Macaca mulatta: one gene and its partners. The protein of the gene in region 6 interacts with the protein of the main gene of each other region in a biochemical or structural test. Links are inferred from orthologs where the notes say so. Each region holds a gene or a part of one and is shown on either strand. Other genes may lie near its edges. The genes, in order: BCL11A, BCL11B, SP1, AHR, GTF2B and NR2F1.

What was found.
Region 1: the proteins of NR2F1 (region 6) and BCL11A form a complex in vitro, tested with the Homo sapiens proteins (2 studies listed by BioGRID). The link is inferred for Macaca mulatta from reciprocal best matches to the Homo sapiens genes NR2F1 and BCL11A.
Region 2: the proteins of NR2F1 (region 6) and BCL11B form a complex in vitro, tested with the Homo sapiens proteins (2 studies listed by BioGRID). The link is inferred for Macaca mulatta from reciprocal best matches to the Homo sapiens genes NR2F1 and BCL11B.
Region 3: the proteins of NR2F1 (region 6) and SP1 form a complex in vitro, tested with the Homo sapiens proteins (2 studies listed by BioGRID). The link is inferred for Macaca mulatta from reciprocal best matches to the Homo sapiens genes NR2F1 and SP1.
Region 4: the proteins of NR2F1 (region 6) and AHR form a complex in vitro, tested with the Homo sapiens proteins (2 studies listed by BioGRID). The link is inferred for Macaca mulatta from reciprocal best matches to the Homo sapiens genes NR2F1 and AHR.
Region 5: the proteins of NR2F1 (region 6) and GTF2B form a complex in vitro, tested with the Homo sapiens proteins (2 studies listed by BioGRID and IntAct). The link is inferred for Macaca mulatta from reciprocal best matches to the Homo sapiens genes NR2F1 and GTF2B.

Annotation. Positions count from the first base shown.
Region 1 is NC_133418.1:64,327,886-64,331,596, reverse strand, and holds part of BCL11A (BCL11 transcription factor A), read right to left. Parts: intron 180-3,711; coding exon 1-179. UniProt on the Homo sapiens protein: Transcription factor. Associated with the BAF SWI/SNF chromatin remodeling complex. Binds to the 5'-TGACCA-3' sequence motif in regulatory regions of target genes, including a distal promoter of the HBG1 hemoglobin subunit gamma-1 gene.
Region 2 is NC_133412.1:172,492,434-172,496,144, forward strand, and holds part of BCL11B (B-cell lymphoma/leukemia 11B), read right to left. Parts: coding exon 1,959-3,711; 3' UTR 1-1,958. UniProt on the Homo sapiens protein: Key regulator of both differentiation and survival of T-lymphocytes during thymocyte development in mammals.
Region 3 is NC_133416.1:60,530,211-60,533,921, forward strand, and holds part of SP1 (transcription factor Sp1), read left to right. Parts: coding exon 1-428; intron 429-3,711. UniProt on the Homo sapiens protein: Transcription factor that can activate or repress transcription in response to physiological and pathological stimuli.
Region 4 is NC_133408.1:110,933,021-110,936,731, forward strand, and holds part of AHR (aryl hydrocarbon receptor), read right to left. Parts: intron 1,373-3,711; coding exon 1,170-1,372; intron 386-1,169; coding exon 276-385; intron 1-275. UniProt on the Homo sapiens protein: Ligand-activated transcription factor that enables cells to adapt to changing conditions by sensing compounds from the environment, diet, microbiome and cellular metabolism, and which plays important roles in development, immunity and cancer.
Region 5 is NC_133406.1:151,744,252-151,747,962, reverse strand, and holds part of GTF2B (transcription initiation factor IIB), read right to left. Parts: intron 3,584-3,711; coding exon 3,437-3,583; intron 3,309-3,436; coding exon 3,179-3,308; intron 772-3,178; coding exon 490-771; intron 1-489. UniProt on the Homo sapiens protein: General transcription factor that plays a role in transcription initiation by RNA polymerase II (Pol II). Involved in the pre-initiation complex (PIC) formation and Pol II recruitment at promoter DNA.
Region 6 is NC_133411.1:99,957,722-99,962,032, reverse strand, and holds the start of NR2F1 (COUP transcription factor 1), read right to left. Parts: upstream 3,011-4,311; 5' UTR 1,202-3,010; coding exon 739-1,201; intron 1-738. UniProt on the Homo sapiens protein: Coup (chicken ovalbumin upstream promoter) transcription factor binds to the ovalbumin promoter and, in conjunction with another protein (S300-II) stimulates initiation of transcription. Binds to both direct repeats and palindromes of the 5'-AGGTCA-3' motif.

The DNA of each region.
Region 1 (3,711 bases), on a different chromosome or scaffold from region 6:
AGGACATTCTGCACCTAGTCCTGAAGGGATACCAACCCGCGGGGTCAGGGGACTTCCGTGTTCGCTTTCTAAGTAGATTCTTAATCCATGAGTGTTCTGTGCGTGTTGCAAGAGAAACCATGCACTGGTGAATGGCTGTTTGCAAGTTGTACATGTGTAGCTGCTGGGCTCATCTTTACCTGCAAAATAATACAACACCAACATCAATGTTTAATCACTGAGGCGGGCATCAGCAATTGCTTATTTATGTTCCACCTCCAGCCTTCCCTGCCCCCACCCCTCAACCCCAAGCCCTAAACCCTCACTGACCTACTCCTGTGCCTGGCACGTCTGAGCATGGGTACCCAGTAAATATTGGTCCAATCAGTCTTCCTGCCATTAAACTCAGTTCTAGGAATTTGATATCCAGTCCCCAAAGCAGAAAAATCCTGGCCAGTTCTGGCTTGAGAATGAAGGTCCCTACATTCTAGGCACCTAAACAAATGTCTTCTAAACTTTCCAGTCCCATCAGCTGTAATTTGGGGCAAGCCATCTCATCTCCATGTGCCTCTGTTTCCTCTTTGTTAAGTGAGAAACTTGGACAAGGTGACCCAAGGAAACTTTTTGGCTTCCTAAATCCCAGCTTTCTATTCCCCCCTGGGTGGCAGGTGAACTTTCTAAATAGGCAAACATTTCATAGAGATTCAAAAAAAGGGGAGAAGGTCAACTCACTACAATGTTATATGGCCCTAGAGATGCTTTCAGTCTTAGTCTGAAACACACTAATTGTTGATATTGTTAAAATGAGAGGGTACTCATAAAATACTTCCATGGAAAAAAGACTAGCAACATTCTCACATCCCAGACTGTGGGAGGATCAGTGAGTCCCAATTTTGGTTCCACAACACCCCATGGGAACGCCCATTTTTATCTCAAAGAATGTTTAAAAATCTGAAAGAAAAACTTCATTCAGATCTAATGGATAGGCTGTATCCAATCTTTAGGAGTTGTCCCCCAGTCAGACAAATGCAAGTCTGGAAAAGTTAGGAGGAGTGGCTGGTGCCGACTTAAGCAGACACAGCATCCTAGTTTAAGGAACAGTTAAAGCAGCCAGCACCATGACAGGCAGCAGGCTGAGAAATGCTACACTATCCTCCTCCTCATTATTTTGAGAGGCTAACAACGTGAACCAAATTATACAACATCCTGCGCCCTCGGCTGAGACTCAGCTCCAGTTGAGAAAGAAACAGAAAGATACAGTTCAGCTAGTCAACTCTGGCCAGTAGCCAAGCCGTCTGGAGAGGGGCCCTGCTTAAGTCACATTATTTCCCTTGCCGAAAAGAACCCAAGAGTGGTAAATGCCACTTTGGCAAAGAAGGGCCAGCTTGACTTCACAAAATCTTTCATTTGGGGAGATGGCTAAATTAAATATATATGGGGAGATAGCTAAATTAAATATATATATATATGGAATAACTAACCAACAGTTTACTAGTCAAGTACAACATTAAAAAGGGCAGAAGTAATGGTAGCCAAAGGACAAGGATGAGAAAAACAGAAAACTTCCCATGGATTCTGAAAAAAACCTTAAAATACAACTGAGAAATAACAAACTTTTCTCCTTCTTTTAAAAGAAAGGCTACAAGAGTTCCTTAAGGCCACAGCTAGTATTTGTCAGTTAACTTTCTAAGAAGGGAAAAAAAATAAAAATCTACCAGGGAGGTTAATAGTGAGAATGAGGAATTAATCAATTATATGATGCCTCCATTTAGCAAGTCAGAAAGAAAAGCTGGCAGGGTCTTCTCAGGAGCCCCCAAACACTGGTATTCCAAAACAAGCCAGCCTTGCTCAAGCACTTGTCTCAATAATGGACTCCTGCCCTGACCTTGTAATTTACTTTACAATGCATTTATAATCCCACTCAATATATCCCACTCCTGGGTAAATCTCTTAAACAAGATTAGATGGTAAGATACCAAAATTAGATTTCAAACATTTGTCTAATGTGGAAGGGGGAAAAAAGGCAGAAAGATTTTGAAAGAAAACGCTGACATTAGTATCACATTATCTGCCTATTTTTGTTTGCCTCCTCTCTTCAAAGGGAAATAAAAAGCTTCATTGACAGCATTTTCATAAATTTTTTGTTGTTGTTGAACAATGACTTGAGTCCCAAATAGGCTGGAAAAAAAATTATCTGGTTCCAACTACATGATCCTCTGTGGCTTCCTCCTTGTCCTCCCTAGGTCTCTGCATGACTATCATACCCATGTAGCCCGACAATCTGAGTTGGGCAAGTAAAAAGATTTGTCTGATAATGCAAGTCCTTAACACGTTCATCACTCCAAATGCCTTAAAATTATATTTTACCTTATAAAAAAATCGATAGAAATCCAGGACTGGACTCATAATTAGTGGTGCTGGTTTCACATGTGCCATGAATGTAGTCATTGATAAATGCCAAAATCTGTGGCATACAGCACTACATCAAGGATCTCATTTGTATCCTTTCAAAAAGGCTTAAATGAGAAAAGTCCATTTTATTTTGCTGCCCTGAACGTCCTAAACTTTTTTTCAGAGCTAGTTATGTGATCATGCTACAGTATGTTAACACTGTGATGTTATCCTCCCTCTCTCTCATACATCAGGTCAGAGAAAATGGCATTTTATCTTATAATGAGCATACAACATACAGTTTTCACTATCGCATTTTAGTATTCCCATCAACTAGATATTCTAGATCATGAGGGCAGCTAGTGTAATCATAATGTCAATGAGAAGGGCTGTTACGATTGAGACTAAAGATTACATGGAGAGAGCTGCTTTGAAACTGGTAATTATTACCAGTCCACTAATAGCAAATGATGCATTACAATTTCACCATATAATCTGTATTTCACTCAGCTCGTGCCGGTGTACCATATTATATTACAGTGCTCACAGATTCTAAATTCCTAAACTGCAGTCATCAATAAATGTGTTACTTGCCATAATTTGTGAAATTACTTTGTTCATAACATCTTTGATGATTTAGAAAGACCAGAATTGATTTCCTGTGTGGCAAAATTAGGGCTACATTGATTTATTGATGTGTAAAATATAATAATATTCTTCATTTACTCTGATGAAAATCAACTTCTCAATTTGAGAGCCTCATTGGGCATTTACAGGGATTGTTTTGATTTAGAGCAATAAACTGACACCTGGCCCCTAAGCATAGGAACTTGAGGCACCAAAAGGGTTAAAATCAGCTATTAGCCCACCTACTGACTTTTATCTTATTTCATTTTACTTTATAGGAAGGAATGACCCCCATTTCTAGTATGTCACCAATGTGAAAAAGTCATGTGATCTAAGGCTCAAGATTCAGAAGAACAAGGAGGCCTGAGACTAGAGCCCTAGCTCTATTATTCACCAGCTTGTAACTCTGGGATAGTCATTTGATTTCTCTGAGTCTTAGAATTCCTATCTGTAAAATGAGCATAAAAACAGTACCTGTAAAGAATTGTTGGGAGGTTCAAATGACAGAAGTATATAAAAGCCCTCTGTAAACTATCAGGTCCAACATGAATGTGAATTTTCATTACTACCAGGGGTGATTAATTACTGAGGGTAATGACTAACCACATTACACACCCCGCACGGCTTCCAGAGGAAGGTCCCAGTCCAGGCCTTAACCCAGGCCAAAAGGAGGCTGTAGTGAAAGAGCAGGGGTGACTGGCACACAGCAGGGCG
Region 2 (3,711 bases), on a different chromosome or scaffold from region 6:
ATTCAACGATATCAACTTGTAACTTGTGTCACTTGAGTTTTAATTCAGCAGTAAATCACCTCCACTCCATATCTAAGCAGCGTTGTCCCAAAAACAAAAGGGGCTGAGGATAATTCAGCTAATGGATGTCCAAGGTTGTGCTGGGTTTATTTCTTCATTTGATTGGGTCTTATGGCATTTCATATCCTCTATCTTCAACCAGAATTTTTTTTTTTTTTTTACTTAAAGTAAATGTGGCTTTGTTAGTTTCTAAAGAATGTACTTTTCTTGTTTTACTTTTTTAAAAAGTCTTTTCATTTCAAAAAAAAAGTTTTGCATTTGTCTCAAGAGACTCAAATAGGAAGATCAGTTTTCAAGGCACTCACATCAAATTGAATGGCAGTAGAAAAACTGTCCTATAAATTATTATTTTATTTTGTTCTTTATAGTGCCAGTATTGTGAATGCCACGCTTAGCAACACTGACACTCAATCTCAGCTGTCCCTTACAGTTTAACCCACCTCTGGGCCAAAGAGAAGAATATGCTGCAATTTCTTGTTTAGAAGCCATTTAATTTAAATGCAAACAAAAGCTTTAAAGTGCGGGTCAACAGAATTCAAATGTCTAATCTTAACAGTTCAATGTTTAGTACCTTCCAACCTAATGAGATAGAAAACAAAACAAAACAAAAAAAACCTGGGAAGTAGCGCTGGGCACCTTCTGATGGAACTCCTCCCGTGCTTTTTCAGTAACAGAGAATAGAAATTTGGAAGATCCCACCCCACCCATCCCTACAGTATCATCAGTGTGCATTAAATGAGAGAACACTAACTCCAATTCATTAGGGCATTCGTCTGCTTGGGAAATGATCAATGACCCCTTGTAGCAACATAGGATTTGAGATTTATGTGGTGGGGGTGATAAAGAGAGAAGCCGTCAAGCCAGAAAACGCCTAAAAGAACACCGCTAGTTTCTTCCTTTTTGTGTCACTGCAGGCCACCCCATCTCCCCAAAAAGGTACCCCTCAGCCCATTTTATGTAGCCTAATCTACAGCGAATAGCAGCCATGGCACCCCAGGGCACGCCAATATTCCAAGAAAATGATAGTATCTGCTGGTCATGCACAACCTGAGAATGCTGTCGGGCCATTTCCCAGAGGAGCCCTCCAAAATCCTCTCTGGCGGTGCTGAGTCTGTGGGGTGCCTCTTCTAGCACCACCACTCAAGGCTTCCCTTATGTAATATGAAAGCTGAAATCAACACACAAAAGGCCGCTTTACTTGGGACGACATGAGTGCTCCATCTCCATTCCAACTCTGAAACAAAGTGCTACGACTTTAAAGATTGTTATCCGCTGTACATCCACATCCCCCACCCCAAAAACAAAAATAAAAATAAAAAAAATTTTTTAAAAACTGCATGCCACTTTTTATTTCAGGACAAAAAAAAAGAGGAAGGAATGAAAAAGTAAACAACTTTAAAAGTCATTTGAGTGTTGGCTTCTTCACAAGAAATTACACATGCTTAGCTTAAATTTCAAAAAAGCAGCACCACCCCTCCCCCCAAATTATAATTTAAAAGATATGCTTCCCCTCTAACATTGCTTGCGAGTCATTGCTCAGGCTACTACCGGGTTTAAAAAAAAAAATAAAGGGATGGATACCCAACAAAATCTCTTAAAGGAATTCAAACAGAAAAAATAATAATAAAAAGTACCTGCACATGCCAAAAAAATTACAAAACCCAATAAATACAGAAATTATTGCACAGTTAAAAGGCTCCACAATTTGTACTGCCTTAATCAACCCTCGGGTTTCCATAGGACTTCGCAGACACAGGTTAGGTTGGAGTGCCGCCTCCCCTGGGCCCCGGGGACACGCGGGGTGCGGGGTGGCGGTGACACGGAGGCAAGTCAGGTCAGCATTCTCTCGGTTGGCAACGGTTCCACTGTACAGGTGCGGGGCGCCAGGGCCCGCGCGCTTAGCTCCTCTCGGCCTGCTCGATTTTGACGTCGTTAGTCAGCAAGTGCTCGCCGTGCCACTTTTTCATGTGTTTCTCCAGGGTGCTGTAGACGCTGAAGGGCATCTGGCAGATGTCGCAGCGGTACACCTCCTTGCCGATCTGCCCGTGCGTCTTCATGTGGCGCGTGAGCTTGCTGCTCTGCGCGCATGCGTAGTTGCACAGCTCGCACTTGTAAGGCCGCTCGCCGGTGTGGCTCCGCCTGTGCACCGTCAGGTTGCTGCAGTTCTTGAACACCTTGCCGCAGTACTCGCACGTGTCGCTGCGGCGGCCCTCCTTGGAGCTGGGCCGCCCGGGGCCGGGGCCGCCCAGGTGCGGGGTGCTGCCTCCGCTGGCCGTGCCACTGCGGCCCGAGAGGCCGCCGTCCAGCAGGTCCCCGGGCGGCGTGGAGAAGCGCAGGCTGCCGTTCTCGGACGAGTGCTCAGACGACGTGGCGAAGGGCGACTGTCGTGCGTCCGTGAAGCCCAGGAAGGGGTCCTTCATGAAGTGCCGCGACGCCGCGTAGCCCACCAGCCACTGCGAGTACACGTTCTCGGACGGGATGAGCGCGGCGGGCGGCAGCTCCAGGTCCTTCTCCACCTTGATGCGCTTGGCGGCGCTGTTGAGCCCCGGGCTGGGCAGCGGCGCGGGCTTGCGCGGGAAAAGCCCAGGGAAAGGCTCGGTGCCCGGCGCGAAGCCGCCCCCGCGCCCGTTGACCGCGCCGCCCGCGCCCGTGTCCCCGCAGCCGCCCGCGTCGTCGTCGTCGCCCGCGTCCCCGCCGCCAGCCGCGCGCTTCAGGAAGGCGCCGCGCTTCTGCTTGTCGGCCAAGAGCTCGCCATACTGCGGCAGTGCGCCCAGGCCCACGTTCTCCATGACCTTGCCCAGCACCAGGGCCTTCTCGTCAGCCAGTGCCTTGGCCGCGCCGCCCCCCGCGCCCGGGACCCCGGCCACCCCGCCACCGCCGTTCTCGCGGTTGCGGCTCAGCTCCGAGTCCATGCTGAAGCTCGACTCGGGCCGGCTCTCGTTCTCCAGCAGCAACTCCTCCTCTTCCTCCTCCTCCTCCTCGTCCTCCTCCTCCGGCTCGTGGCCCAGCGACGGGTCGCTCTCATGGTGGCGGAAGTCGCCATCGGCCGCCTTGAGGCCCTCGCCCGCCAGCTCGCTTGTGCCGGGCTCGGGGGAGCTGGCGGCCGAGAGCCCGTCGTCGGAGCGGCCAGCCAGCGAGCCGGCCTTGTGCATGTGCGTCTTCATGTGGCGCTTGAGCTTGCTGGCCTGCGAGCATGCGTGGTCGCACAGCTGGCACTTGTAGGGCTTCTCGCCCGTGTGACTGCGCCTGTGCACAATGAGATTGCTCTGGAACTTGAAGGTCTTGCCGCAGAACTCGCACGACTTGCTCTTGGCCGGCGGCTGCGGGGGCGGCGTGCCGCCAGGGGGCATGGGCGGCAGCGGCGGCGTGCTCAGGAACGGGGACTTGGGGCTGGGCTGGAAGGGGTTCAGGAGCCGGTGCATAGGGTTTCCGCGGCCCGGGGACACGGGCGGCGGTGTGGAGCTGTTGCCCGCCAGCTCGCGGAGCCGCCGCGAGAAGTCCATGGCGGGCGAGTCGATGGCCATGGGGTTCAGGCGCATGACTCGGTCGAAGGCACTGGGGTGCTGGGCAACGAGCCCCATCTCCTCGGCACTGAGGCGGTGCGGGTCCAGGTGGTGGCGCGGCGGGGGGCTGAAGAGAGGCGGCGTGCCC
Region 3 (3,711 bases), on a different chromosome or scaffold from region 6:
AGCAGCACCATTGTCAGGGCAGACCTTTACAACTCAAGCTATCTCCCAAGAAACCCTCCAGAACCTCCAGCTTCAGGCTGTTCCAAACTCTGGTCCCATCATCATCCGGACACCAACAGTGGGGCCCAACGGACAGGTCAGTTGGCAGACTCTACAGCTGCAGAACCTCCAAGTTCAGAACCCACAAGCCCAGACAATCACCTTAGCCCCAATGCAGGGTGTTTCTTTGGGACAGACCAGCAGCAGCAGCACCACTCTTACACCCATTGCCTCAGCTGCTTCCATTCCTGCTGGCACAGTCACTGTGAATGCTGCTCAACTCTCCTCCATGCCAGGCCTCCAGACCATTAACCTCAGTGCATTGGGTACTTCAGGAATCCAGGTGCACCCAATTCAAGGCCTGCCGTTGGCTATAGCAAATGCTCCAGGTAAGCTTTCCGATCTTTTGCATTTATTGGGAACCAACCCTAGCATCTTAGCTGAAACTTGAGTCTAAATAAGGGAATAGAGCTTTTTGAGATAACACTTTCTTGAGGGCTAGTCATATAGGCAAATAAATTTGAGAAATAGAGATTCTGCTTAAGTAATTTGGAACTGAAGTAAAGGAAACTTCTCCAGTTAGTTTGATGAGAAAGGAGCACTTCTGGGCAATATTTTGGAGTCTGTGTACTACTCAGTGTTTTTGGTGCTGCAGAATAAGGGTTGACAAACTTTTTCTGTAAAGGGCCAGATAGTAAATATTTTAGGCTTTGTGGGCCTCATGTGGTCACGTTTTCTTTTCTGTTTTCTTTTTTTTTTTTTTTGAGATAGAGGCTTGCTCTGTTACCCAGGCTGGAGTGCAGTGATGCAGTCTCGGCTCACTGCAACCTCTGCCTCTCGGGTTCAAGCGATTCTCCTGCCTCAGCTTCTTGAGTAGCTGGGATTGCAGACAAACGCCACCATGCCCAGCTAATTTTTGTATTTGTAGTAGAGACGAGGTTTTGCTGTGTTGGCTAGGCTGGTCTCAAACTCCTGACCTCAGGTGATCCACCTGCCTCAGCCTCCCAAAGTGCTGGGATTACAGGTACGAGCCCCTGCGCCTAGCCACATTTTCTTTTTTGTATGTTTTTTTCCGCACCCTTTTAAAAATGTAAAACCATTTTTAGCTCTAAGGCCTTCTTTGGCCTGTAGGCCAACTCCTCCATAGGATAAAAATTGATTATGGGCCGGGCACGATGGCTCACTCCTGTAATTCAGGCACTTTGGGAAGACGAGGCAGGTGGATGGGTAGAGTTCAGGAGTTCAAGACCAGACTGGGCAACATGGCGAAACCCTGTCCAACAAAAAATACAAAAATTGGCCAGGCATGGTGGTACATGCCTATGGTCCCAGCTACTCGGGAGGCTAAGGCATGAGAATCGCTTGAATCCGGGAGGCAGAGGTTGCAGTGAGCCAAAATTGCACCACTGCACTCCAGCCTGGGCTACAGAGTGAGACTCTGAAAAAAAAAAACCAAAATGTAGTCGGGCGGCTGAGCACGGTGGCTCATGCCTGTAATCCCAGCACTTTGAGAGGCCGAGATGGGTCGATCACCTGAGGTCAGGAGTTCATGACCAGCATGGCCAACATGGCAAAACCCCTTCTCTACTAAAAATACAAACAATTAGCCGGGCATGGTGATGCGCACCTGTAGTCCCAGCCACTCAGGAAGCTGAGGCCAAGAATTACTTGAACCTGGGAGGCAGAGGCTACAGTGAGCTGAAATCACATCATTGCACTCCAGCCTGGTTGACAGAGCAAGACCCTGTCTCAGAAAATAAAAATAAAAAATTTGATTATGAGCTGGGTGCGGTGGCTCATACCTATAGTCCCAGCACTTTGGGAGGCCGAGGTGGACGGATCATGAAGTCAGGAGTTCAAGACCAGCCTGACCAATATGGTGAACCCCGTCTCTACTAAAAATACAAAAATTAGCCAGACGTGGTGGCACAAACCTGTAGTCCCAGCTACTTGGGAGGCTGAGGCAGGAGAATCTCTCCAACCTGGGAGGCAGAGGTTGCAGTAAGCCAAGATCGTGCCACTGCACTCCAGCCTGAGCGACAGAGCAAGACTCCATCTCCAAAAAAAAAAAAAAAAATTGATTATGAATTTTGCCCGTTTGTAGAACACAGATTATCATCAGATATTTCTTGTGAACTGTAACTCCTAATTGAAGGGAAAATGATCTAATGGGTTGCTTTTCAACAAAATAAGTTCCCTGGTTAGTATTAACCAGAATATCCCACACTGAGCATGCTGGTTAATCAGGGTTGAATTTTTTTTAACTCCTAGTTATCTTAAAAACAAAATCCCATAGCTTCCCTTCACACTAACATATGAGTGTCCTAGGTGATTCTGGTATTTCCTAGGTAGCAGTCTAACTTCCTAGTCTGCTTTGAAAGTACTGTGTATGGTTAGGAAGGGAGGAGAGAGAAAGGGAGTGGGGTAAGTTGGGGTCTGGAATGGAGTGGGGGATGTGGGATTGAGAAGAGTTAGGAATGAGGAGAGCATTGAAGGGAAAAATAATCTGGGAAGAATATTGAATCGGTTGACCATGGTGTTCAGGGTCTTTCATTTTGAACTAAATGTTTCACTATTAATTTGAAATTAAAACAGTAAGCAGGTGTAAGTCTATGTAGACCGTGTCTTTTTTTTTTTTTTCGTTTTTGAGACTGAGTCTTGCTCTGTTGCCCAGGCTGTAGTGGAGTGGTGCAATCTCTGCTCACTGCAACCTCCGCGTCGTGGGTTCCAGTGATTCTGCTGCCTCAGCCTCCCAAGTAGCTGGGATTACAGGCGCGAGCCACCATGCCTGCCTAATTTTTGTATGTTTAGTAGAGACGGGGTTTCACTGTGTTGGCCAGTCTGGTCTTGAACTCCTGACCTCAAGTGATCTGCCCGCCTCGGCCTCCCAAAGTGCTGGGATTATAGGTGTGAGCCACCACGACCTGCCTGACTGTAACATTTTAAATTCCGTTGTATGGAGCTGATCTTTAATAAAGCACAGTAAAAGGATATACACACATTTTTATATTCTGGCACAGTTATACAAATATGGAAAATAGTTCAATGTCACCAAATAATATCACGCAACTTCTAGTTCTTTCTTTTTTTTTTTTTTTCGTTTTCTTTTTTGGGATTGAGTCTTGCCTGTCTCCCAGGCTGGAGTGCAGTGGTATGATCTTGGCTCACTGCAACCTCTGCCTCCCGGGTTCAAGCAATTCTCCTGCCTCAGCCTCCCGAGTAGCTGGGGTTACAGGCGCACGCCACCATGCCTACTAATTTTTTGTATTTTTTTTAGTAGAGGTGGGGTTTCATCATGTTGGCCAGGCTGGTCCCGAACTCCTGACTTCGTGATCCACCTGCCTTGGCTTCCCAAAGTGCTGGGATTACAGGCGTGAGCCACCGCACCTGGCCACTTCTAGTTCTTTTGGCATATATATGTGGGTTTATAAATTGTTTACTTTTGTTACCAAGTTCTCATTCCATTTAGACTGATTCTTACATAAGTGAGGGTAACAAATAGGCGACCATATTTCCTGCCTCTTGCAGTTTTGGTAAATCTGGGGGGAAAGTCTGCTTGAGTTCCCTGATTTTCTTACATTTCTGTGGTGAGTTTAGAAATACTACGTGTTGGCCGGGCGCGGTGGCTCAAGCCTGTAATCCCAGCACTTTGGGAGGCCGAGACGGGCGGAT
Region 4 (3,711 bases), on a different chromosome or scaffold from region 6:
ATGAACTGATAACAATGTAATTTAAAAATTCCCAAGCAAAACTTCATGGGCCAAATGGTTATTTTTTAATAACTAAACAACAATATTTCTATGAGGCAGGTGTAGACAAGTTAATGAACAAAGAGTGTAACCCTGGTTAATCATGATGATAAGTTACTAAGTAGAAGTTTATCTATATAGTTTACTTAAACAGGTTATATTACATAAGAATTTGAAACATGTACTACAGTGTATGCTGTTTTTTTCTGACATGTTCATAAGGAACTACAACTTACTCCGGATATGGGACTCAGCACAATAAAGCATATCAGCAGCATGAATAAACTGATACCCTGATCCTCTCGTGCACAGTTCTGCTTCAGTATATCCTAAAACAATTCTTCCTCTGTTTAAAATTTAAAAAGGTAAAATAAGAATGAATTATGATTTAACATAAATGAAATAACAAAGATAAATTCATTGGTTTTACGCTAGTTTCTGCAATGTTTTAGTTCACATTTAGAATTTCACATCAGTAAGTAGATATGAAATTAAACACATCTATGTAAACCGCTCTTCCTTGCTTATGATTGCAAATTTCAGTTTCAGCCTATTTTCTTTTCCTGAATAAAACCACGGAAATTAGTATGCTAAAACTGAATTGAATAGAGCAGATGTATGGGTAACAGAAAATCTTTAATATAAATCTGGAACGTTTTTATAATCTATTTTTAGGGAAGAAGGTTTTTCAAATTACCTCTCTGCATTCCCACATTAGAAAGGAGAAAAGCACTGATATGTTTTGATACGATATAAATGCTTAATATCGGACTCTTGCTCACAATTTTCTGAAAGTTACTGAAACTTCTGGGGCTAGAAATCAAATAACATTTGTGCCATTTAAAAACGTAAAACAAACCAACATAAATGTCATCAGAAGAACAAACCTTACTAATATATAAGAACATCATCATCTGAGACAAGTCTTGCAAAAAATTAAAAAGATGATTTGTGAGCCTGATGAAATTATTTTTACTGTAAAAGCCTACACTGAAAGAATAAAAGCTAATAGCCAATCTAATAATAAACAATATTACATACAGTCCACAATGTATGTTTTACATGCTAAGAGAGACTTACTGAAACATAATGTACATCTGACAGAATAAAAGTGAAAAAGTCTCACTTACTTGGCATCACAACCAATAGGTGTGAAGTCTAGTTTGTGTTTGGTTCTAAAGATAAAATTTTTGGTCCGGATTTCAAGTATGGATGGTGGCTGAAGTGGAGTAGCTATCGCAAACAAAGCCAACTGAGGTGGAAGTATTGATCCATCCTTCCCTTTCTTTTTCTGTCCATGAAGATACTTTAACCTCCCTTGGAAATTCATTGCCTTAAAATAATAACAACAAAAAAAGTTCATTAAAATTAAAAATATGAAAGTTCCTTTTAAAAAGGCTCCATTATGGCTGCTTCTAGGGTTCTTGATAATTCCATAAATATTCCTGAAGCTGAGAACTGTTAGTTTCTTTCATTCCTGTCTCCATGGGACACCCATTAAAACTATCCCAAAGAGTAATATGAGAAATATTCTAAAGGGATAAGTGAACCACTCCTTGTTCCTAAATGGTCATAACATGAATACCTATATAATTTTCCAAGCTTGCCATTACCCTATCATTTTCACCTCGCACAGCTCCTTGCACACCAGGCAATCAATATATCCTGAATGGTAATAAAGCCCTAAACATTCATTTTCAAGCATACATGAACTATATTGCAGCTCATAGCGTATTGCATAGTTCATAGTAATCTTTTCTATAGAGACAAAATATAATTTTATTAAAACACTAAAATGAATCATCATGAAAACATATAAAGAATGCAGAGCTCTACTGAGTAAATATATGGAATAAATTTAGAAGACAGGGAAAACAAAGGCAACTTAAACATGAACATGATATATTTAATTGGTTAAAACAGTATCAACCAGTCCAAGGGATGGTTCTGACATCAAAATAATAGCAGTGCAAGGAGGAAAAGACCCTCTTGCACACAGGTATTCCACCTCAGACATACAGTCACATGTCACTTAACAAAAGGGGCATGTTCTATGAAATGTGTCCTTAGGCAATTTCGTCATCCTGTGAACATCAGAGGGTAGGTACACAAACCTAGACAGTATACCTTACTATACATCTAAGCTATACAGTATAGCCTTTTGTTTCTAGGCTACAAACCTGTACAGCATGGTATCATACTGAATACTTTAAGTAATTGTAACACGGTAAGTATTTGTGTATCTAAACATAGAAAATACACAGTAAAAATAAAGTATAAAAAATGGTATACCTGTATAAGAGTACTTATTGTAAATAAGGCAGGCAGGACTGAAAGTTACTCTGGTTTAGTCAGTGAGTGAGTGGTGAGTGAATGTGAAGGCCTGAGACGTTACTGTACACTATTAGAGTTTATAAACACTATACACTCAGGCTACACTGAATTTATAAAAAATATTTTCCTTTAGGCCGGGCGCAGTGGCTCATGCCTGTAATCCCAGCACAACTTACTGTAACTTTTTTACTTTATAAACTTTGACACTTTTAACTGTTGACTCTTTTGTAATAACACTTAAACACAGTGTACAGCTACACAAAAATATTTTCTTTCTTTACATCCTTATACTATAAGCTTTCTCCCATTTTAAAAAAAATTTTTTTACATTTTACACTTTTGAGTTAAAACCTAAGACATAAACCCACACATTAGCTTAGGTCTGCACCGTGTGAGGATCATTAATGTTCCTATCTTCCACCTCTACATCTTGTCCCACTGGAAGGTCTGCAGGGGCAATAACATGCATGGAGCTGTCATCTCCTGTGATCTTCTTTTGGAATATTTCCTGAAGGACATGCCTGAGCCTGCTTTACAGTTAACCTTATTCTAAAATAATGATTAAAATAAAATCATTAAAAGTATAATAAATAAAAAAATAAAGTAAAATAATGATTAACAGTAAATACATAAATACATAGTGATTTATTACTTTCAAGTATTATGTGTCATACATAATTGTATGTGCTATACTTTTTATATGACTGGCAACACAGGTTTGCTTCCATCAGCATCACCATCAACATGTGAGTAATGCTATGACATCGTTAGGTGATAGGGATTTTTTGGCTCCATTATGATCTCATGGGACTACCATCATATACGTGGTCTGTTACTGACCAAAGCATCATTATGCAGCACATGACTCTACATACTAATTGTTCATGAGCAATAACACTGAGAAAACTACCTCAAAGCACAATTCTAATTCTGAGTCAGCAAAATCCTCTTCAGAAATAAACACATAAACCAAAATCATTGCTTGGTAATGCTTAATTTAAGATTTGATTACCTGTTTCAAATTCCTTGTTATTCACAAAAAGTATACAATATACTCTGTATTCTCTTCTCCTGTACTTGGTGACACAAACTAAGGATACAATGAGAGACAGAGAAGTCCACTCTGAGGAATCCTAGGCTGCTCCCTACAGCAAACTCCTATGCAGGTGTTCAGACTTTGCAACAAGAAACAGTGTCTCCTATCAGATGATGATTCTACAATTGCGAATATACAATCATTTTTCTATGTGGCAGTTATTTGAGACATATGGAAAGGCCATTCTTTTTCTGTCTAGCAGGCATTAAATCCTCCTATTAAAAAAGGGCTACATAATTCTC
Region 5 (3,711 bases), on a different chromosome or scaffold from region 6:
CTCTGAACATTTTTTTTTATGAGCAATTTAAAAGCAAAACATTTTTTCTTAACATTTTGATGTTGAGGAACGATGTCTTAAATGTGGGTTTTTCTTTTTTTGAGATGGAGTCTTGCTCTGTTGCCCAGGCTGGAGTGCAATGGCACAATCTCGGCTCACTGTAACCTCCACCTCCCAGGTTCAAGCAATTCTCCTGCCTCAGCCTCCTAAGTAGCTGGGATTACAAGCCCCACCACCACACCCAGCTAATTTTTGTATTTTTAGTAGAGATGGGGTTTCAACCACGTTCATCAGAATGGTCTCGAACTCCTGACCTTAGGTGATCCACCCGCCTTGGCCTTCCAAAGTGCTGAGATTACAGGCATGAGTCCCTGTGCCCGGCCAAATGTGGGTTCTTGCTATTTACCTGGTTCAAACTTAAAATGGAAAAATAATCACATGCTGTGAATTTCACAGTTTACTGCCACACTTCCTGATGACGAACCCTACCTTTTTGGGTCCTCTTTTCAGCTGATGCCTGTGAGGCCATGTAAATGGCTGCCGCTGCCACAGAGATGGGGCTCCTCCCAGGAACCAAGTCCAATTCCACAGCTTTACGGGCTATATGGGTAGCTGCCATCTGCACTTGTTTAGGAAGACAAAGATTGGAACAGAATCTGGACATGAAGTCCCCAGTTGTAATCAAATCCACACTGGTTTCTAGTGCTTTCAAAATAAGTTTAAAACACCGACCAATTTCTTTCTTAGAAATTCGTGATACGGCACATATTTCTAAAAGAAAAAAAAATTAAATAAATCAATTCACTTAAGCCATATAGTTCATCTTAAAATCTACCATTTCTAATTATAAACATACATTCTAATTGTAAAACATTCAATCATGCCTTAAAGATAAAACCCTAATTCTCTCAGTGATACTCCCCCCCAGAGATAACTGCAAATTTCTCAGTTAACTTTAATGTTCATCACACTTTTTTTTTTTTTTTTTTAAGACGGAGTCTCACTCTGTTGCCCAGGCTAACAGCAGTGGCACGATCTCAGCCCGCTGCAACCTCCACCTCCTGGGCTCAAGTGATTCTCCTGCCTCGGCCTCCCGAGTAGCTGAGACTACAGGCGTGCACCACCATACCTGGCTAACTTTTGTATTTTTAGTAGAGACAGGGTTTCACTATGTTGGCCAGGCTTGTCTAAAACTCCTGACCTCAGGTGATCCTCCTGCATCGGCCTCCCAAAGTGCTGAGATTACACGCGTGAGCCACTGTGCCTGGCCTAATGTTCTTCACTCTTTAAATGTAGGGTTTTTGTTTGTTTTTTGAGATGAGGTCTCACTATGTTGTCCAGGCTGGAGTGCAGTGATGCCATCTCAGCTCACTGCAACCTCTGCTCCCCGGGTTCAAACGATTCTCCTGCCTCCTGAGTAGCTGGGATTACAGGCGCCTGCCACCGCACCTGGCTAATTTTTTGTATTTTTAGTAAAGATGGGGTTTCACCATCTTGGCCAGGCTGGTCTTGAACTCCTCACCTCGTGATCTACCTGCCTCGGCCTCACAAAGTGCTGAGATTACAGGTGTGAGTCACTGTGCCTGGCTAAATTTAGGTCTTAATCTTTCCAAATATTAACTGCTCTAAGGATTAATTCATTGCAAGTAAATTTCTTTAAATGAAAAATTGATATTTATACATTAACCTGTTGTAAGCAGTGTTATCAAGGAGCTGAAAGAAAATACTCAAGCTAAAGGATGCCTCTTAGGCAACACAGTGTCATGTGTACATAAAATCCCTGCAATTATGGGCTATATAGCTCGATGAGATAAAATATTTGACCCTGTTATTCCCAGATGCAACCACCATACACTTTCAGAAGAAATTTAACAAAAGCTCTGTTTTAATTATAAAAACAACAAAAAAGATGATGATAAAGGCCATCACCTCTTCACTTTTACATAAGAAAACATAAAAAATAAATACTCACTGGATGAATAAAGGGTTAAGTATAGTCTTCAGCTAACCTGAGCTTTGGTAGTGTAAGTCAGTGAGCAACACTGAACAAACTGTCACATATTCCCATGTAACTGCAAACTGTATGAAAAATACCAGTTCTTTCAAAGCCTCCAACTGAAGTGTAAAAATGCAAACAATACACCTCAAGAGAAAAAACTTCACTGATGCTTTCTTTAAATTTATTTTTGAGATGAAGTCTTGCTCTGTCGCCCAGGCTGGAGTGCAGTGGTGCAATCTTGGCTCACTGCAACCTCCGCCTCCCGAGTAGCTGGGACTACAGGCGTGCACCGCCATGCCTGGCTAATTTTTCTATTTTTAGTAGAGCCGGGGTTTCACCATATTGGCCAGGCTGGTCTTGAACTGCTGACCTCAGGTGATCCGCCTCGGCCTCCCAAACTGCTGGGATTACAGGTGTGACTCACCGTATCTGGCCTTCACTGATAACTTTCTAAAGCCTGACTCCCTCATCTACAGAGACTGGTGCTAGAAATGGAAACTGTTTTCATGTAAACCAAATGTGTAAATGGCCTACTTTGGTTTACCATTACAGGCCTGAAAGCCCACAAAATTTTAACAGTCCATCAAAAGATCTCACTAGCAAAGAACATAGTGGGCTTACATGGACTAAAATGAGTCTACGTGGGAAAACAGCCTAAAAGAACATTCTATGAATTTGCTGTCAAGGAACAAAATAAGTAGACACTGGCAAATGATGCTCAAGTGGATTACTGTAGTGACAATAAAGATGACTTAGCTTCTAAGTGTCAAAGCTGCCTGACATTGGTCTGTTTCTTTAATATGATGTAGAAAATGCTATTTTAGGCTGGGCACAGTGGCTCACGCCTGTTAATTCTAGCACTTTGGGAGGCCAAAGCGGGCAGATCACCTAAGGTTAGAAGTTTGAGACCAGCCTGGCCAACATGGCGAAATCCCGTCTCTACTAAAAATACAAAAGTTAGTCAGGTGTGGTGGCACGTGCCTGTAATCCTAGCTACTCAGGAAGCTGAGGCAGGAGTATAGCTTGAACATGGGAGGCGGAGGTTGCAGTGAGCCAAGATCGCACCACCGCACTCCAGCCTGGGTGACAGAGTGAGACTCCATCTCAACAAACCAACCAACCAACCAACCAACCAACCACAACAACAAAAAAACAACAAAAAAAAAGGTAAAAACTTACCTTTAAATGTCCTAGGAACCCCTTCTTGTCTACAGGCAATATAGAGACAAGCAGAAGCTATAGCATCATTAGCTCTTCCCTTCAGGCTCTTCTGTTCATATACTTGCTTGAATAAATTATTCGTTCGATCCTTCAAAGCAGAGAAACTAAGTTTAACTCTATGTCATTTAATTAGCTGCAATATCGAAATTTCATGTGTTCATTAAATTATGCAAAGTCAATGCCAGAATGGCTTAAAGGAGGTAGACAAGAACTTACAACTATATTTCGAGGTAGATTGATTCTATCTGCCATGGTAGTGATTTCTTTGAATGCATTCATCATTGCCCGATCAGAACTGCTCATTGTTCTCCGATTCTGGTACTTAGAATTGCCAAATTCATCAAAACTTGCAGCTCCTGTACCCTATAGAACAGTTAAAACTATGAAAAAACGTTTTGGAAAGTATGAATAATGGGACACTTTCTATGAAAATATAACTTACAAGATCTGATTCTATATAGACTAGAAATCTGAATTGTGCATCCTGCCCA
Region 6 (4,311 bases):
AAAAATGACACAACTATGAAAGCACGGTTCAGTCACAAACTTTCCTTTCAAAGTAGAGGGGTGAAAACAAGGCCACAGCTCTGGAGGAGGCGGCCCCAGCTCCGTGAAGAAGAGAGGGAACCAGTGAACGGGCCAGAAGCCCCCCTTCCCCCCTAATTAGACCTACAAGTGCAATAAATCTCACTCCTCTTTTTCCAAGCTAAGCTTCCAAAAGGATGATGGCAGCAATGAATCTATGGTTCAGGGTACTCCAACCCCAACCCTCCCCCATTTTAAATAAAGGGTATGAAGAGGTGGAGGGAAAAGTGTAATGAAAAAAACACAGAAACAGAGTTTTCTGGGGGAAATAAGCACCCCTCCCCAAGTTCATGCCAGCACAGCCCCAAGCAGCCTCACGCACACGCGGGAAAGAGACACACCGAGCACATCCAAGACAGAGGGAAGAAGGGGGATTTTAAGCCACAGCTCACGATCTCAGGGACACAATCCTGAGCAGGCAGCGGGCGGGGTGGGGGAGCCGGGGAGAGGAGCGCAGGCCGGGAGGGGGAGGCAGCGGCAGTGAGCTGGGGAGGGCGGGGGGAGACGCCGGGGGAGGAAGGCAGCGGGGAGAAGGGAAGCTGGGACAGGCCGGGACCACAGGAGCCCCAGCCCCACACAGCAACCACCCGGGCGAGAAAGAAAGAAAGAGCCAGGGAGGCGGGCGAAGCGCGGGGAGAGAAGCAGAGAAGAAATATTCACCTTCCCGCCTCATGCCCACTTTGAGGCACTTCTTGAGGCGGCAGTATTGGCACTGGTTGCGGTGGTGCTGGTCGATGGGACAGTTCCTGTTGGCACGGCATGTGTAAGTTAAGTTCCTGCGGACGCTCCTCTTGAAGAAACTTTTGCAGCCCTCGCAGGTGAATTGGCCGTAGTGCTTGCCGCTCGACTTGTCCCCGCACACCACGCACTCGATGTGCTGCTGGCTCTGGCCCGAACCGGGCGGGCCCTGGCCCTTGTCCCCCGCCGTGCCGGGGGTGGCGGGCGCTCCGGGCTGGCCCGGGGTCTGCGGCGTGTGCGGCGCGCCCGAGCCCGCCTGCTGCTGCTGCTCGCCGGCGCCGCCGCCGCCGCCGCGGGCCGCCTGCGCTGCGGGGTTGGGGCCGCCGGGGTTGCCCCCGGCCACGTCGTCCTGCGGATCTCGCCAGCTGCTAACTACCATTGCCATATCTTTGGGCCCGGGGAGCGCTGGGGGGAGCCGAGCTGCTCGCCGAGGGCCGCGGGGCGCGCCGGCGCGCTGGGAGGGGAAGGGGAAGGGGAAGGGGGGAGGGGGAGGGGGCGGGGGGCCCGCCGGGCGCCCCGGGGTCGCAGGAGCCGAGCCCGAGCCGGGCACCGGCCGCTGCCTCCGCCGCCGCCGCCGCTGCCGCCGCTACTGCCTCGGCCGCCCCGCTGCTGCTGCGCGCCCGCCCGCCCTGCTGGCGTTTTGTTGTGGTTCCTGCTGTTTTCTTTCTCTCTTTTTGCAGCCCCCCCAGGCTCTCAGGCTCCCCCCCCAACACCCCTGCTCCCCTCGCCCGCTCCCCCCGCGCTCCGTTCCTGGGGGGGCCGCGCTCTCCTTCCCCCCTCCCCACCCCCCGGCGAGCAAGCTCCCTTCTCTCGCTTTTTTCTTCTTCCCCAAGTTGCAAAATCAGAAATGGCACAGGCGGCAGCCGGGAGCGGCGCGGGGCGCAGCGCCGGGGGCGGCGGGCATGGGCCACGGCGCGCGCACAGACTCGCCCTCCGCCTCGCCCGCACCCCCGCGCACACACACACTCGCACACACACTCGCTCACCCGCGCCGGGCGCCCGCCCGCCCGCCCGCCGGCCGCTCGGGCTACGCGCAGCGCGCTGGCTGAGCCGACATAGAGGAAGCCGGCGAGGGCGGAGGCGGCGGCGGCGGCGGCGGAGGAGGAGGTCGCGGCTGCAGGCGCCGCTGGAGCTGCCGCCGGAGCTGCTGCGGCGAGCGCCGCTGGAGGAGCCCGGGCCCGGGCCGGAGTCCGAGCAGGAGTCGGGGCCGCAGCCGGAGCGCGAGCGGAGGCCGGGGCCGCCCGCGCCGCCGCCGCTGCTGTCCCGGCGGGAGCCCTCGCCGGGCTCGGGAGTGCAGGGAGCGCGGTGAGCCGAGCAGGGCGCTGGGCGAGGCTGCCGGCGGCGATCAGGGCGCGCGGGTGTCGGGGGGCCAGGTCCAGGGCCGGACGCAGCCAGCCATTCAGGAAGGCAGCGCTGGAGAGCGGGAGGCAGCCGGCGAGGAAGATCACACACTTTGCTCTTTTTGTTGTGCCGGTGGCGCCGGGCTCTAGCTGCCTTCTTCTTTCGGGAGGTGACGGAAGGGGGAAAAAAATACGGGATAATTCACGCCGGCGACGAATTCACAGCGAAATAGAAAAAATAAAAATCAGAAGAAAATAATTGCCAAAAAAAGGAAAAAGGAAAAGCGAGAGAGACATCCAAAGTAGGTCGAATAAATAATCCTCTTCTTTTCCTCTTTCTTGCTCCTTCTTCTGCTTCTTCTGCTATAACACACAGAGCTAGTTAAAAAAACCCTGGAGATCGCCCAAAAATGTTCTTTTTTTAGTATTTTAAATAAGTGCTCTTCAGCCGGGAACCAACACCCTCCCTCCAAAAAAAATCATATATGTATAAAATAACGATAAGAAGAATACGAAGGGGGTGCCTCCTCCTCCTCCTCCTCCTCCTTTTTTTTTCTTTAAGTTTAGCCCTCTCTCTTCTGCAGGAATGGAGTAAAAGAGACGAGGAGGGAGAAAAAGGAGAGAAAGAAGGAGAAGAAGGGGAAAACAACTAGTAGAATATGTAAGAAAAGAGAAAGGAGAGAGAAGAGAGGTTCAGAGAAGAGAGGAGAGAGAAGAGAGGAGGGAGAGAGAGGGGGGAGAAAGAGAGGAGAGAGAGAGAGAGAGACAGAGAGAGAGAGAGAGAGAGGAGAAGAGAGAGAGAGAGACCCAAAAATTGAATGCGTTTAAACGGGAGGACTCGCAGAGCAATGTTTCCGAAAGGGGGATCTGCGCGAATGTCTGTATATAGTGAACTTTGACACTACTATTGAAACTGACACGTTTCTATGGAGATCGCTGCCTTATATGGAGCTCGTGTCAAGGAGCCAAGAGAAGGGCTGCTGGCAACTGATAATCAAAGGCGACTGACTGGTCAGAGCCCTGAATCGGGGGGAGAGAAAATGGGAGGCTAAGGTTAGCCAAGCCTCCTGCACGCCATTGGTTGGAGAGCCCCTCCCCCCTCCTCTTCTGCTTTCTTTCTTTTTTTCCCCCCTCCCTCTTAGCTACCTACAGACTGGGATGGTGTGGGGAGGAGGAGAGAAAGTGAGGGAGGGGGGTGTGTTTCTGACAAGCGCAATTTACATTGAGATCGCCCTGCGCTGCTATTTACTCTGAGACCTGATTAGTATGGGTCGTCTATGGTCACACACACACACACACACACACACACACACACACACTTACGCATACACCCCAGAGGGGGAAGGGATGACGAGGGGGGGAGAACGCCTAGCGATGGGCAAAAGGAGAATTAGAAGGAAATTATTTTGATTTCTTCTGAAAAGTTTTTAAAATTAGATTTTATGAGCGTGAAGAGAGTGTCATTTAAAATGTTTAGAAAAAATTTTAACGGGAATGAAACCCCCACCATTTTAATGATTCGTGAAATATACTGGATTTGGATTGTTTTCTTCTCTCACATATAAGCACAATCCAAGTCTGGATTCTGCTCATTTTATATCCTTGTTATAAACAAGGTAGGATCTCCCTATTTTTTGATCCAAAGTATACCTGGGTTTAAAAGGTTTAATGACGACAAAGCACACTCCTGGAATTTGCGGCTATTGCCACAAATTCGATCGGAATCAAGGGTTCCTATTTATCCCAAAGACGATTTTAAAAATAAACTTTCCAATCAATCCAGTTTTTCCTTCTTCTTCTTCTTCTTTTTTTTTTTTTTAAATCACCTGGCTGTTCCAAACTCCAACAATGCTTCAATAATTATTAATAAAACAGTAGTAAGTCCCCATATTGTTGCGGGGTGGGGGGAGATTAGTGTGGCCAAATCAGTCCCGGGAAAAGAGCAAACAAACGAGAAGATGGAGAGGGGGGGAGGCGGAGAGGGAGAGAGAAAAGGGGGAGGGGGAGGGAGAGAGAGGAGACGAAAGGAGAGAGAGAGCGCGAGACATTGAGAGAGGAGAGAGAGAGGAGAGAGAGGGGAGAGAGAAGAGAGGAGAGAGAGAATGAGAGGGGACGGGGAGAGAGAGAGAGAGAGAGAGAGAAGAGAGAGAGAAGA